Linked DNA regions of Rattus norvegicus. The protein of the gene in region 1 purifies or fractionates together with the protein of each later gene. This does not show direct contact. Links are inferred from orthologs where the notes say so. Each region holds a gene or a part of one and is shown on either strand. Other genes may lie near its edges.

Region 1 (7,229 bases):
GAATCTGCATGCTGCTTTCTGCCTTGCTTTCCCAGATATACTATAATCTATAGTATGCGCCAGATGATAGTGTTTAGATTGGTCTGTCCTGAGAAAGTTCTGGGAAAGGGCTACTCTGTTAATATATAGTATGTGCTTATTGATGCTTGTTTGCATGGTTTTCTGACCTCACACAACCTTCCTTGGATCGTTGCCTTTTTGTTGTTGTTGTTATATTTGTATATAAAACTACACTGAAACTTAAATAAGGTTTCTGAAGCATCCGACTGTAGTCTGCCCTATTCCTTCAGGTCCTCAGATCCCATAACCGGCAGAAAGAGCTGCACAGGTAGGCTGAGAAGTCAACAACATGCACACAAACCAATGTTAGACCCAACTGACCTTTCAAGTTAACCATACCAGCCCAATATTTAACCTCAGTTCTCACCACTAGCAGAAGACATTGAAGACCCTCGTTCCTTGTACATGTTCTGCCCCATCTGGAGCCCCGTTTTGGCAGAGAGGGGCACACTCGTGTCTAATCTGCCTCACCGAAACACCCAGAGCAGTGCCGAGTGCACAGGGTGAAGAGTGAGTAGAGACAAAGGAGCATCTAAGCATCTTTCAGCAAGATTTGCATAAAAGGTAACGACCCCAAGCTGTCAGGAGCACAGGTAGACGAGACTGTTGTCTTCGGGGTGCTTGGTTCTTCCCTCGCACTGGAGGGGGGTGTGGGGAAGTGATACCTGGGTAGGGAATCTTCCCATAGGTGACGATCTCGTACAGGAGAATTCCGAAGGACCACACGTCAGACTTGATAGTGAAGCAGCCGAAGTTGATGGCCTCTGGAGCCGTCCACTTGATAGGGAACTTGGCACCTGAAGAGGAAGACATGGGCTCTTACTCCAGGTTTAAGCTAATGGGTTAGAGGTAATTTTCTTCCTTGACTTTTTTTTTAAAAGAAATTCAAGTAATTTACTTGGAATAGAAAAGATACATGCACAATCAAAATGGACATGGTGTCAAATGTCATTCGAACAGAGTCACCTCCCTTGCCCTTCCCTTTAGGGTCCTCCTTTCTTTAGAAGCAGTTTCTTCTAGAACCTCCAGGGGGCACTGTAATCAGCTCAACTTTAAACGGGAAAGGGTGCGGTGTACTATTTTCTTACACTGTTGGCCTTTCAAAAGGGTTGCTGAAATTTTATCTAGAGTTTAGTATGCTGGCATGCACCTGTATTCTCAGGTGAGATAGGGGAATCTCTTGAATCAAGGAGTTTAGCTTTAAACTCCTGGACATCAATATAGGACCCCATCTCAGAAAACGAAACCAAACATACAGTATCAAAACGTCACACCAAGCCTTCTCTACAACACAGTTCAGGCTTTTCTTTAGTAAGTCCATTCTAAGTTTGAGTGGCCATATTTATTATTTCATTTAAATGTACCTACTTAATTTTTAGTGCCGGAATGAGTGCTAAGTACACATTTGACTACTGAACTAGATCCACAACCAGAATTATATTTAATTTCCTTCGAGGAAAGCAAGACTTGGCGCAGTCTGTAGCTCCAGCATTGTGGAACTGCTAGGGGTTCATAGCCACTGCTTGAAAACATTATCTTTACTATGTCTTTGCAGGCATTTTCTTTTGCAGTGCCTTACTAAGACTAGTAGTCCCTATAAGAACAGAACAGACAGTTGTGTACACCTGTTGTGTGCTGGGCTCACAATCACTGACTCCTGGATTGTTTCTAGACAGCCTGGAGCAGTGGTGCATGATGGGAGGACAGAGATACAGAGTCTCGGAGCATCTCCATGTTACCACTTTCTATTTGGTATCATCCTAACATGTTCTTTATGGTCTTTGTCCTTTCTGGTATTTTTCAAAGACTCAGTGCTTGTTGGTGTCAACAAACCAGTGTAATCAATTCTCTCTCATGTACTCAAAAGCTGGATTCCCTGGCTTGGATCCTGGCTCAGACCCTTACAGAGGATCTCTAGAGTTGCAGAACCTCCGAGGCCCATCATCAGTGGTCTGCAGCATAGACTAAGTGTTACGAACATCTCTGCAGTCCAGGGAAGCACATGTGCTTTATTATTTGAGAGGGGAAAAAATCTGCCTTACAGGGTAAATAAAGAATCTTAATTTTGACAAATTTAGTGTTGACTAAGTGAAATACAAGGCTGGATGTGTGGTGCACATACTTGTAGTCCCAGCACGTGGGAGGCTGAGGCAGCAAGATTTAGAGTTTGAGGCCAGCCTGGGTTACACAGCAAGACTGTGCTACAACTCAGTGGTTGAGCTCTTGCCTTGCAAAGATGAGACCCTCGTCCATTAATCCCCACTGCCAAAAAGTAAAACACCCCCTTATCTCAAAAACCAGCAAAGAAGAAGACAGATACTACTGTTCATGAATCTTGTTACAGTATTGAGTGGCCTTATCCAAGACAGATCTTACACAGAAAGCTACCATTGAGGCACATCTTCAATATTGTACCAAATAAGCCCTTTTTTTCCCCTTCAAAATGATGACTTTTTTGTAGATGCTTTATTAAAAAGCAAACAAAAATGAAATTAGGCAGAGAAATAATGAAATATTTCTTGTTATGTCGCTTTTTGAGTTGTTTGTATATTAACTACCTGTCAGATACATAGCTAGGAGATTTCCTCATTACACAGCAATGCCTTGTCTTGAAGGTAGAAACAAGGTCGGTGGGAACCGAGAGAACACAGGACAGAATTGGGGGGTGGAAAAGTGGGAGGGCATCATCATGGGGGGCAATAGCACACTCCTGCAGCAAGATGGCCTCTGTAACCCAGCACACGTACCTTCCCTCGCTGTGTATTCATTATCTTCGATTACTCTCGCGAGGCCAAAGTCTGCAATCTTGCACATGAGAGACTCAGAGACCAGCACGTTGGCAGCTCGCAGATCGCGGTGGATGTAGTTCTTCCGCTCGATGTACGCCATGCCTTCTGCAATCTGCAAACAGAAGGGGGTCATGTTCATATTCTAGAGAGGCTGTCATGGTTGGCCATCAAGAAAAAAACTAGTTTTTCAAAATTTTAAGATAGTGCTAAAGTCACCCTTAGAATTCTTTTTAAAGTCTGTCCCTAACATCTCCAACAATGGTAACTTTTTTAAAAAAAGTTTTTATTTTATTTTTATTTATCTCTTTGTGTGTGTGTGTTCGTGTCGGTCCGTGTGTGTGTGTGTGTGTGTGTGTGTGTGTGTGTGTGTGTGTGTGTGTGTGTCTTTTGTGTCTCAGTGAAAACATTGCATGCAGGTACTCTTGGAGGCCAGAAGGGGGCATTGGATCCCCTGGAGCTGGAGTTGCAGGCAGTTGAGATAATTCAACATGAGAGAGGGGAACTGAATCTGGGCCCTCCCTAAAAGCAGTTCACGGCCTTAACTGCTCAGCTATCACCTCAGCCCCATGGTAACATTTTGTTTTTTAAATAACAATAGATTCAGCATTTTTAACAGTGTGAAAGCTTTTTTTAAGACCTGTAAAACCTGCCCATGCTGATATACAGAGGTCATGTTAGATTCTTAGGTGAGGTCCCCTAAATTTATATATTGATATCCTGACCCTCAATATGATCCTTATGTGTTGGTAGTTGTAAAGTAACTAGGTTGGGGGGCAGTGCAGACTTGGTGCCCTTATATAAGAGGCCACAGAGAGCTTCCTAATCATTTCCACCTTGGGTGGCCATGGCTATTAAGAGGCTGTAAGGAGAATGGGCCTGTACCAGATACTGAATGTGCTGGTGCTTCTTTCTGGATGTCCCTAGAACTCTAAGAAATAAATGCCTGTTGTTGGAAACATCCAGTCCATGGTATTTTGTGGTAGAAACCAGAACTAAGACAACAGAAGAGAAGAAAGTGATTTGCTAATACAAGACACCAGCAACAGGACGTGAGACACACGCTTGTTAGTAAGACCCTTTCTGTCAGGATCTTGCTAAGGAAGAGGTGGGGCCAGCTCTCCAGAGCCTCTGAGCATAGTCCCTCAGGACGAACAGAATATACTCTGGCAACAAAGCAAAAATATGAGGCAGAATGAAGGATTCATATAGACAACAGCCCAGAGAGGAGAAGGTACTACTTAGTGCTGGTAGGAAATGTGGCAGAGCTCAAAAAATCAGTTAAAGGATTGTGCCACCAAATTACACAGTCAAGGATAAGGAAGGAAGAAAGTGTGTGTGTGTGTGTGTGTGTGTGTGTGTGTGTGTGTGTGTGTGTGTACACGTGCGCATACGCTCATGCTTGTGTGTATTTATGTGTGCATGTATGTGTGCTTGCGTGTGTTTATGGAGTGCATGTTTGTGGTGTGTGTGTATTTCTGTGTACTTGTCTGTGTATTTGTGTGTATGTGTTTAAGAGAAGCTTCCTCTGGGGTTGGGGATTTAGCTCAGTGGTAGAGCGCTTGCCTAGGAAGCGCAAGGCCCTGGGTTCGGTCCCCAGCTCCGGGGGAAAAAAAAAAAAAAAAAAAAAAAAGAAAAAAAGAAGAGAAGCTTCCTCAATTAGGATGACTTCTCAATAGAGTGAATTGTCCCCCAGAGGCTGTAAATTGCATCTGGGAAGGCTCCTCCATCACCAGCAGCAGCAGCCTCCTTACCTCACACTGTGAAGACTGCACAAGCCCCTTCAACCTCTACTGCTCAGCAAAGGAGCAGCTGGTTAGCACTTCCTTTCCTTCCAGGCCTCATCCTGGGTCCTCTTCCGGAGTCCTCCTAGTCCCATCCTGAACCTCTCTTCACCTGTCTTGCAGCGTTGGTCTGCACAAACACTACTCACAGCTAAGGGTTACAGCTTTACCATTGTTTTCTGTTGGGGGGGGGGGCTTACTGTTGCCACAGCAACCAGATAATCAACGCCTCTAAGGCAAAGGCTGCACTGTATATCTTTTCTATTCTCACTCGAGTGCAACTTTGCTGCTGTCACTAATCTCCTCCAGAAAAACGAGCTAGAGTTTTGATTTTTGTTTTTAAGATTTATTTATTTATTTCGTATATGTGAGTACACTGTAGCTGTCTTCAGACATACCAGAAGAGGGCATCAGATACCATTACAGATGGTTGTGAGCCACTATGTGGTTGCTGGGAATTGAACTCAGGACCTCTGGAAGAGCAGTCAGTGCTCTTAACCGCTGAGCCATCTCTCCAGCCCCCGAACTAGGTAGGGTCCAGGAAGCTATGTTGCTAGCACACAGGATTTGTAGGTGTCATTCTTCTGGTCACAACAATTTGAGAATACGCAAAGTGCCCCAGATCTACTTTGAAGTCTAGTCAACCCAGAACTTCACTCCCTATGGGCACCCAGGCACACTGTCCAAATACTTTAATAATGCTACCAGGAGCTGGTAGCATTCTACAGGACCTGGCTTTGCTTTATCTTCCTGATTCCTCACCATGACTCCTCCTGCAGCCTCTTGGCAACCACCCTCAAACCTCACTCCCCCGTTATGTGGCCCATTCATCCTGCAGGTCTGGGCTGAGAGGCCATTTTTTTTCCCTGAGCCTTTGTAGCACAGCACTTTCTCCGAGGAGTGCATCTCCACGGCTCGTCACTCTGTCCATGTGCCCATCTCATGTGGCCACTTCCCTGGGCACAGGTGAGCTGCATGTGCTGCCTGCATTCAGCTCTCAACTTGGTACAAAGGAAGCACGATGACATGGGGGGCTGACCTTGTAAAACATTGCACACATCTGACGATAGGTAAGCACATAGAGCAGAAACCAGAGCATGGTGGGGGAAAATGTGAGGCTGGTTGAGATAGCAACAGCTGGGTGGCCTCTGCTTTCCCTACTCTCAACGGCCCTAGGCGCACAGAAGATGCTCGCCCTTATCTGGAAATATTCAAAATAGCTTCAACAGGAAGCCCACCGAAGGCGGTGGGGTGGGGTGTGAATGCCCTGGCAAGGGCATGCTGGCATTCGTGACTTCCTCTAGAAGACTCTGCACCAGACCAGTGGGGCATGACATAGAGGGCAGAGGGTGATGTAACACAAGGGACTGAGGCAAACGTTGTTGGGGCAGGACTCAGGCTTCAGTTTCTCATAGTTTGCTGGCACGCCAACCTCAACCAAACTTACTAAAGGCAAGGCAAGAGTGCAGAGCATGCTGGGACTAAGCAGAAGAATGGGCCAAGAAGCTGTTACACAACTGGATAGAATGTTTGGGTTAAGGAGACAGAGACGTGCCTTGCTGAAATGAGCCAGCAAGGTTCTAGAACCCCAAAGGGATACAAACAATTGCATGGTCATTACTGATGCTCTCTGAGCCTCTTTCCAGTCCTCCTTAGTAACAGAGCCTTCTTGAAATGCTAGGCCATGCTTACCTAGCTAACAGTCTAGTAAATATATAGACCCTAGGTCAGGAGTGCAAAGAGCTGAAGCTGGCTAAAATCCCGACTCAGGGCTCAGCTCCATCTCCTGCTTGGCCATGGATTTCCAGGGTCAGCTTATTCTAAGATCATTCCAAGAACTTGCTAGGAGGGCTCCAGGCACATCTACTCAAGCTGGGCACCTGCTGAAAGTGTTTGGAGGTGATTCTCTGAAGCAGTCACAGTCTTGAACAAGCCTTGTGTACTTGGGATCTCTATTCCAGTTACAGCGCTTTTCCGGACAGTGATATTGGTGTTGAGATGAAATCCTAAAGTAGCTTGAGCTGAGCTCAATAATTAGCAGACACCCCAGCAAAGCGAAAGGCTCCCAAGTATTACCACCCTAGTCTGTAAAATTCGTTCCCTCTCTTCAGCCCCCAACTCTACAGTGTTCTTTATTTGGCTTTTAAAAACCAACCAACCAACCAACCAACCAACCAACCAACCAACCAACATTTAGAATCAAAAGGGTTTTACTGTAGCCAGAGCAAATCTGGCTATATTTGATAGCAGCGGGAAGAAACCAGACCCAGCTTCTGCTGGTCCAGATTAGGAGGATGCTTTGTTCATAGGATATCCTCTTCCTCTTTCAGCAGTACAGAAAGAACTGTCAGCTAGATACATCAAACCTGTCCCCAGGGATCCCAAGAGAAGAGCTCAAGCCTCTCACTTCCTATATCTCAACACCACATAAAAGTCACTGGTATGGCAGCTACTGGAGATACCGTGTCTAGTGAGAAAGGACCCTTTTGACCAGGAAATGGTTTTGTTGTGTTGTGTTCAGGTAGTAGATGATGATGATGATGATGATGATGATGATGATGATGATGATGATGACAATGAGGACGACGATGATGGTAGT
Region 2 (7,776 bases), on another chromosome or scaffold:
GGGGGCAACCATAATCAAAGAACAAAGCACCCCTCTGCAGAAGACAAAGACAAGACAAACACCAAGTAACACCTCAAAGTACACTTCCAGAAGCTTAGACCTCAGTGTAAAACCACGAAATATGAACAGGCGAGACAAGGTGCCTCCAACAGAACCCAGTAACCCCACAGCAACAGGCCCCGAAAAAAATGCAATAGAGGCTGGTCAGTGGTGGCACATGCTCTTAATCCCAGCACTCAGGAGGGAGAGGGAGGCAGATCTCTGAGGTTGAGGCCAGCCTGGTCTACAGAGTGAGTTCCAGGATTGTCAAAGCTATATAGAGAAACCCTGTCTAGAAAAGCAAAAACAGAAAGAAACAGAGGTGGTGGATGGCTCAAAGAAAACGGTGTTCTCCAAATCCAGCAGGACCAATACACAAATGAACTCACAGAGGCTGTGGGCCAGACGGGGGTCATCCCAGTGACCAGAGGTGGAAGTGGGCACGGGCTCCACCCATCAATTCCTAATCAATACTAAGTTGCAAAGACACAGTTTTCTTGAGTGACGTCTCAGGGGTACATAAACTATATTTCTGTGTGGGCCCCCTACGCTGGAGTGATTGACCAACAGAAAATAAATTGAACCTGTTTTTACAAACTTTTGTTTTCTATTACATTGTTTGGGCATTTTTGTATCATTGGTCCTTTACTATTTTTGTGCAGTTGTTGTTGTTGTTGTTGTGTGTGTATTTTGCTGTTATTTTGTTTTTGATAAGAGAAAGAAAGGGCATGAAAGTGGGTGAGTAAGGAGGTGTAGAGGGTTTGGAAGGAGTTGGGAGAAGAGAAAAGCATGATCAAAATCTATTTTTTTTTTCTTTTCTTTTTTTCAGAGTTGGGGACCGAACCCAGGGCCTTGCACCTGCTAGGCAAGCGCTCTACCACTGAGCTAAATCCCCAACCCCAAAATATATTGTATGCAAAGTTTTTCAATTAAAAATAATTTTGGGGGGGCTGGGGATTTAGCTCAGTGGTAGAGCGCTTACCTAGGAAGCGCAAGGCCCTGGGTTCGGTCCCCAGCTCCGAAAAAAAGAATCAAAAAAAAAAAATAATAATTTTGGGGGTTGGGGATTTAGCTCAGTGGTAGAGTGCTTGCCTAGCAAGCACAAGGCCCTGGGTTCGGTCCCCAGCTCCGGAAAAAAAATATTAAAAATAATTTTTAGGAAAACAAAGGCAGTTGAATCTCTGTAAGTTGGGGGGCCAGCCTGATTGACAGAGCAAGTTCTGACTCGGCCAAGCTGCACTTAGAAACATTGTTTCAGAAAACCAAAAGAAAAAAAGAAAAGAAAGAAATATCTACCCATCGATCCATCAATCCATCTATCTACCTAAAATCCCAGCACTCAGGAGGCAGAGGCAGGTGGACCTCTGAGTTCGAGGACAGCCTTGTCTACACAATGAGTTTCAGTACAGCCAGGGCTACAGGGAGAAACCAATCCTTTGAAGTCTGAAAGACCACTCCAAGAAGTTGCCCTCAAATCACCAACTTCGGGTAGGTAGACTAGAACACAAGTCCTTTAATTAGTACAAGGTAGTGCTACAGGTGTTTATTTGGCCTCGCAGGTGTTTTCTATTTTAAAAAAAAAAATTTTTTTTTAAAGATTTAGTTATTACTGCCTGCATGTATACCTACGAGCCAGAAGAGGGCACCAGATCTCATTACAGATGGTTGTGAGCCACCATGTAGTTGCTGGGATTTGAACTCAGGATCTCTGGAAGAGCAGCCAATGCTCTTAATCTCTGAACCATCTCTCCAGCCTCTCTATTTAATTTATTAACTGATGAATATTAATGACTTGTGGCGTGTGTGTGTGTGTGTGTGTGTGTGTGTGTGTGTGTACTTGCACCTCCCTTGGGTCAAATTCAGGTCAGTGATCCAAAGGACTTTCAAGACTGAGGAATTAATTGCTCTTCCCTAATCTGCCTACTGCAGGGTTCCATAGACTATAATTTTTTGTTAAAGCAATGATCCCCGAGGAGGGCAAGAGAACTCGATGAAGCAAAATCTATTACGTTAGAAGATATTATCGCCTACTTCGTGATGATCTTCAAATCATAGTGTGTCTGGATTTTTTTTTTTTTTTCTTTTTCTTTTTTTAAAGTTCATTGAGTCAAAACACACCTACTCCAGAACAGAGTTCGGGGGTTTTTTCACTTTCCTTTCTGATTGGCTGGAAACCATCTTACATTGATTGGCTAAAGCACTTGCCAGTCTTCTTTTCGGAGCTACCACAGGAAGAAAAGGAAGAAAGGGGTGTCCTGAACTCAGCTATTTTATTGGCTCCGGTAGCTACACCGCTTAGTGAAAAAACAATCCTAATTTGTGATTGGTTCATATTACCGCCATTCACACTAGTGAAAACCAGTGTTCTCCTTGTAGTCTGCCTTCCTTACCTGATTGGGTGTGCTATGCAGGCTCTGCGAACTCTGATTGGTCCGACGCTCTGGCGCGGTCCGGCCCTCCCGCACTCTGTTGCCGTGGTTGCAGGCCCCGCCCGCCCGTTCCCTGACAGCGAGGCTTCTCCTGGAGGGAAGCGGGTCCGTTGGTCGGTTCGGAACGAGGCTGGCGCTGCCAGACCCGCGCCTAGCCGTTGCCATGGCAGCCACCGGCGGGGGCGCGGAGGACGAGTCGCGATCCGGCCGCTCGAGCTCCGAGGGCGAGTGCGCGGTGGCGCCGGAGCCTCTGGCGGAAGCCGGAGGCCTGTTCTCCTTTGCGGACCTCGGCGCTGCACTGGGCAGCGGCGCAGGCCTCCCGGGTCGGGCGGTGGGCAGGGCCCAGTCCCCGCTGCGCTACCTCCAAGTCCTGTGGCAGCAGGACGTCGAGCCTCGCGACGAACTGCGTTGCAAGATTCCCGCCGGGCGGCTGAGGCGTGCAGCCAGGCCCCACCGACGGCTCGGGCCCACCGGCAAAGAGGTGCACGGTGAGCTAAGTCAGGGACCCTGGGGTCGCTCGTGTGTGATCGCAGTAGTTCGAGCTGCAGAGGACTGTGACTTCATCCACTTGTTCATCCCTGAATAAAAACTTTACACTCCCGAGGGTGGTTATTAGACAATAATGTGGGACAATGGAGAATACTTTTATTAGTAGAGACGGTAGCCCAGAGCCAGTGTCCACGCTGCACCAACTTGTGTGAAGGCACAGGTCTGAATCAGACTGCTTCACACTGGACCCTTACTTAGGCACTATAGTCACTTGTGGCCTCGATTTTCTGATTGTAGGATGGGTACACTACCAGCCTTATTCAGGGATTAAAAGAAGTTAGGCAAGGTTCTCAAAAGTTAGGCAAGGGTCTCAACGTATGTTCTACCTTAACGAAGGGCCAAACACTTGTTTGATACACATTCAGAGTTACATTGTGACCCATGAAAAGTGACTTATAAAGACTTTACTGTAAGCAAGAAAAACAGCCAGATGTGGCAGTGCACGTGTGTAACTCCAGCACTCAGGAAGCAGAGGCAGGGAGATCCCTGTGAGTTCAAGGCCAGCCTGCTCTAAGTAGCAAGTTCCAGGTCCACAGTGTGAGTCCTGGCAATTCCACTCAGGAGGTCAGGCCTTGTAGCAAGCATCTTTTCCCAGCGAGCCATCCCAACATCCCTAAAGCTTACATATTTATTGGCTGACAATTACAGTGATTACCATTTAGTTATTCTGATTCGAAGTCACATAGCAAACAGGTCAGCCAGACTGCCTTAGTATGTCTGTTATATTGGAAAATGGGGTGCAGAAGAATTAAGAATGGAAAGGTTTTTGTTTTTTTTTCTTTTTTTCGGAGCTGGGGACCGAACCCAGGGCCTTGCGCTTCCTAGGTAAGCACTCTACCACTGAGCTAAATCCCCAGCCCCAGAATGAAAGGTTTTAAGGTCTCTTTTTCACACCTAACAGCGTTTGATCCAGTATGCTGGTGTTATAAAAAAAATAGAAAAGAATATTTAAAAGAAAACAAAACAGTGGTCTATGGATGTGTGCAATTGTTATATCTCGTTTGCAACTTTTTGGACCATTCTCTAACAACTAAGGCATTGCTTCCTGGTCCTTCTGAAAAACAGGCGATGCCTTTGAAAGGGGGAAAGTTTCTGTTTAGGAATTAGAAAGTTTGCTAAGTCATTTGGGAGTGACCCGCTTTGAAGTCACATAGTAAGAGGTTGAATGTGATTAGGTCACAAAGAGCTAAATAAACCCTCTCATTCTTTCTCTCTTAAAAAATTAATCTCAATTTTCTTTGTAACAGCTTAGAGCTGGCAAGACAATTCAGCCATGTTTTATAGATAACAGGCTGAGGCCCAGGATAAGTAACTGGCTTGCTCAAGGTCACCAGCTACCACAAGTGGCAGAAATTAGATTTGGCTCCAGAAGTCAGATTTGCTGCAGAAAGTGGCCTCTCCAACTGTGGCCCTGCCAATTTCTCCTTATTGCCAGGCCAGTGGTTTCTATCCTGACACCTGTGCTTCAGGACTGCCATGACTAAAGGTGGGGGATGAGGAAAAGCTAGGGAACCGTGCACCTCCTATTTGGTTCTGGTTTTTTTTTTTTTTTTTTTTTTTGGTTCTTTTTTTCGGAGCTGGGGACTGGAACTCAGGGCCTTGCGCTTCCTAGGTAAGCGCTCTACCACTGAGCTAAATCCCCAACCCCCCCCCCCTTTTTTTTTTAACTGTCACTTCTCTCTTTATAGCTCTGAAGAGGCTGAGGGACTCAGCTAATGCCAATGACATAGAAACAGGTGAGTGTACCCAGGTGGGCCTATGGGCTGAGGGGAAGGAAAGAGCCAAGCACTCTGTCCTGGGCCGTCCACCAGCTCATCCTCACTCCCTTGGAGCAGGCTTGCTCTATTTACTCCTTGCTCTGAAGTCACTGTGCAAAACTCCCTCACCATGCTCTTCTGTTACCCGGAGTTTTCCTGGTGTCATAGTGCTTATCATGCTGTGTGTTTCCTGATTCTAGCAACCATGTCTGTCTGCTTGTCTCCCACCCCCACCTCCCCCGTGGGACTCAGCATATCCCTCAGCAAAGAGCAAGTGGCTCTTTGGAATTCGTGGCTCCCAGGAGTGAACATTCCACCTTGACTGGCAGGTGGCAACCCTGGCTACTCAGTAGCTGGTCCTTAGATGAGTTTTTTGGTTTTGTTTTGTTTTCCCAAGATAGGATCTATTTATGCAGCCCTGGCTGTCCTGAAACTCACTCTGTAGACCAGGCTGGCCTCAAACTCAAAGATCTGCCTGTCTCCTGAGTGCTGTTTTAGATTTCTTATTAGCAGGGCGCCTGGCAAACATGGGTGGGGCTCCCTTCAAGACACTGAGGTTGGCTTTCTACTGATGCTTCTAAGTGTTTCCTAACTGAGGTAGAGCATCAGAGGTACAAGGACTGCTTCTAGAACAAATACTTCTCCTCCTTCTACTTCTACTTCTACTACTACTACTGATGATGATGATGATAACAAGGATTTGGGGCTAGACAGATGGCCCAGTGGTTAAGAGCACAGACTGCTCTTCCAGAGGTTCTGATTTCAATTCCCTGCAACCACATGGTGGCTCACAACCATCTGTAATGAGATCTGATGCCCTCTTCTGGTGTGTCTGAAGATAGGGACAGTGTAGTCATATAAATAAAATAAGTATATTTAAAAAAAAATAATAATAAGGATTTAACCTGCTGACAATGCCCTCCTCGTGTAGGGGGAAACAGGGTGCTAGTTTACTGTGCCTGTTGTATTGTCAGACCTCCATCATAGACCATTTAGAAAAATAGCACCTGGGTTGGGGATTTAGCTCAGTGGTAGTGCGCTTGCCTAGGAAGCGCAAGGCCCTGGGTTTGGTCCCCAGCTCCGAAAAAAAGAACCAAAAAAAAAAAAAAAAAAAAAAAGAGGAAAAAAAAAAAGAAAAATAGCACCTAAGGAGGGAGCTTTCTTTTTGGCTCGTGATTTCAGATCTTCTAGTCCTCAGATTATTTCTATCCTCAGGGTGGTGGAGTGTGCCTTCATTCCTAGCTCTGGGAGACAGAGGTAGTCAGATCACAAATTATGGCCAGTCCGGTCTGCACAACAAACTCTAAAACAGCCTGGGGTAGAGAGGGAGATAAAAATAATAGGATTGGCCTGGGGGAATGGCTCAGTGGGTGAGAACACTTGCTGTAAAAGCAATAGGACCTGAGTTCAAATCCCCAGGACCTATGCAAGTAAAGTCAGTTATGGCTCCATGTCACTGTAACCCCAGTCTTAGTGACTGGAGACAGGTGGGTCCTAGGAGTTTGATGGACAGCATCTGAGCTGCAACAGGGAGCTGCAGGTTCAGTGAGAGAGGTCTTGTGTTACAAGATGGTAAGTGATACATGGCCGATGTCCTCTGCGTGCATACCATAGGCATGTGCACTTGCACACACTATGAACATATAAGCTGTCAACACTGATGCAGACCCATGGTTACGGGAGCCCACTTCCAGCAGGCATGGGGGGCGCGGGGTTACCTCAGGAACCTGCTTCCTGATGGTCCCCTTACCTTTGGTGCATCAGTGGTCAACAGGCGCAGGACCTGGGCAATCTCAGCTTGATCTGTGTGCCGTGAAATTTAATGTTTTAAGATGTTCGAACATCACCTTAGAAAGTTTTTTTTTTTTTTTAAAGACATTTTTTAATGTTTCTTCTTTGGGGAAGCAGGTGCCATGGTGCGCTAGTGGATGTCACAGGACAACTGTGGGGACCTAGTCCCTCCTTTACCCTGTGTGATTGAAGTTAGCTCATCAGTCTTGATGACAAGGCTCTTTAGCTCCTGAGCCTTCCTCTCCACTCAGGCCCTTTTAAAAAAATTTTAAACTGTCTCTAGTATGAGGCAGGAGAATAGGGTTCGGGCTAGTGGGTTTGAATTTAGCCCTGAACGTGTGATTCCCCAGCCTCTGTCTCCAGAGTGCTGTGGTCACAGGAGCGTGCCACCACACCCAGCTAGCCAGTCACCAGCACTACCTGAGCAGGCACTTACAGGGCACTGCCGCATACCAAAGCTCTAGCCTGTGAAATAGCTGAGGAGGAACCAGGTCAAAACCCAGAGTGAACACAAAACAGCAGTCATACACTTTGCTTCTTGTCTCCTGGGTCAGTGTGACCTCTGAACCTTAAGCTGTCTCACTGGGCAAAGTGTCCTGGTCTATGACACCTCGCTGGGTTACTGTGAGGCTGATGCCCGGCCAGAACTCTGAGCACACTGTACAGTGAGGAGCACAGTCTTTTGCTGTTCAGGAACAGGATGAACAGGGGAGAGGTGTGGGAGAGAAAAGAAGGGGCTGACTCAGCTTGGGAGAGCCACGTGGACCGGAAGCAATTCTTCTTTTGGCTGCAAGGACTCAGACCCTTGATGGGTTCCCGGGAAAAAAGCCTATAATGTCACTGACTCAAAAGTGACTGGCAGCAATTTTCTCCACTTGCATTGACAAAAGTGACTGGCAGCAATTTTCCTCACTTGCGTGGACATGGTCATTAGTGTATAATGTCTTCCCCTTTACAGGGCCTGGCGCTGTCAGGGATGGAATACCACATCTATTATCCCATCACAGCAGCGCTGCTGATAGGCAAGGCAGAGACGCCCTGGTTTTCTGGTGGCTGCTTTGCAAGTCCAGGCCTTCATGCCTGTTCTCAGCCCAACCCTGCCACTGCCTCACATTGGGGGCTGTTCAGTTCTTCCTTGCTTAGCTTCGCCTGGGATTTTGTATGTCCCTGGGGCTTGTACTCTCTCCTCTTCAAAGAGCGGCTGCTTCTCC

What was found. The genes of interacting proteins can lie anywhere in the genome.
Region 2: the proteins of Lyn (region 1) and Ankrd54 purify together in Homo sapiens (affinity purification with mass spectrometry; 3 studies listed by BioGRID and IntAct, with this or other methods). This does not show direct contact. The link is inferred for Rattus norvegicus from reciprocal best matches to the Homo sapiens genes LYN and ANKRD54.

Annotation. Positions count from the first base shown.
Region 1 is NC_086023.1:21,542,699-21,549,927, reverse strand, and holds part of Lyn (tyrosine-protein kinase Lyn), read right to left. Parts: exon of another isoform or gene 4,495-7,229; intron 2,962-4,494; coding exon 2,808-2,961; intron 858-2,807; coding exon 726-857; intron 1-725. UniProt on the Homo sapiens protein: Non-receptor tyrosine-protein kinase that transmits signals from cell surface receptors and plays an important role in the regulation of innate and adaptive immune responses, hematopoiesis, responses to growth factors and cytokines, integrin signaling, but also responses to DNA damage and genotoxic agents.
Region 2 is NC_086025.1:112,502,923-112,510,698, reverse strand, and holds the start of Ankrd54 (ankyrin repeat domain-containing protein 54), read left to right. Parts: upstream 1-2,570; 5' UTR 2,571-2,631; coding exon 2,632-2,956; intron 2,957-4,705; coding exon 4,706-4,753; intron 4,754-7,776. UniProt on the Homo sapiens protein: Plays an important role in regulating intracellular signaling events associated with erythroid terminal differentiation.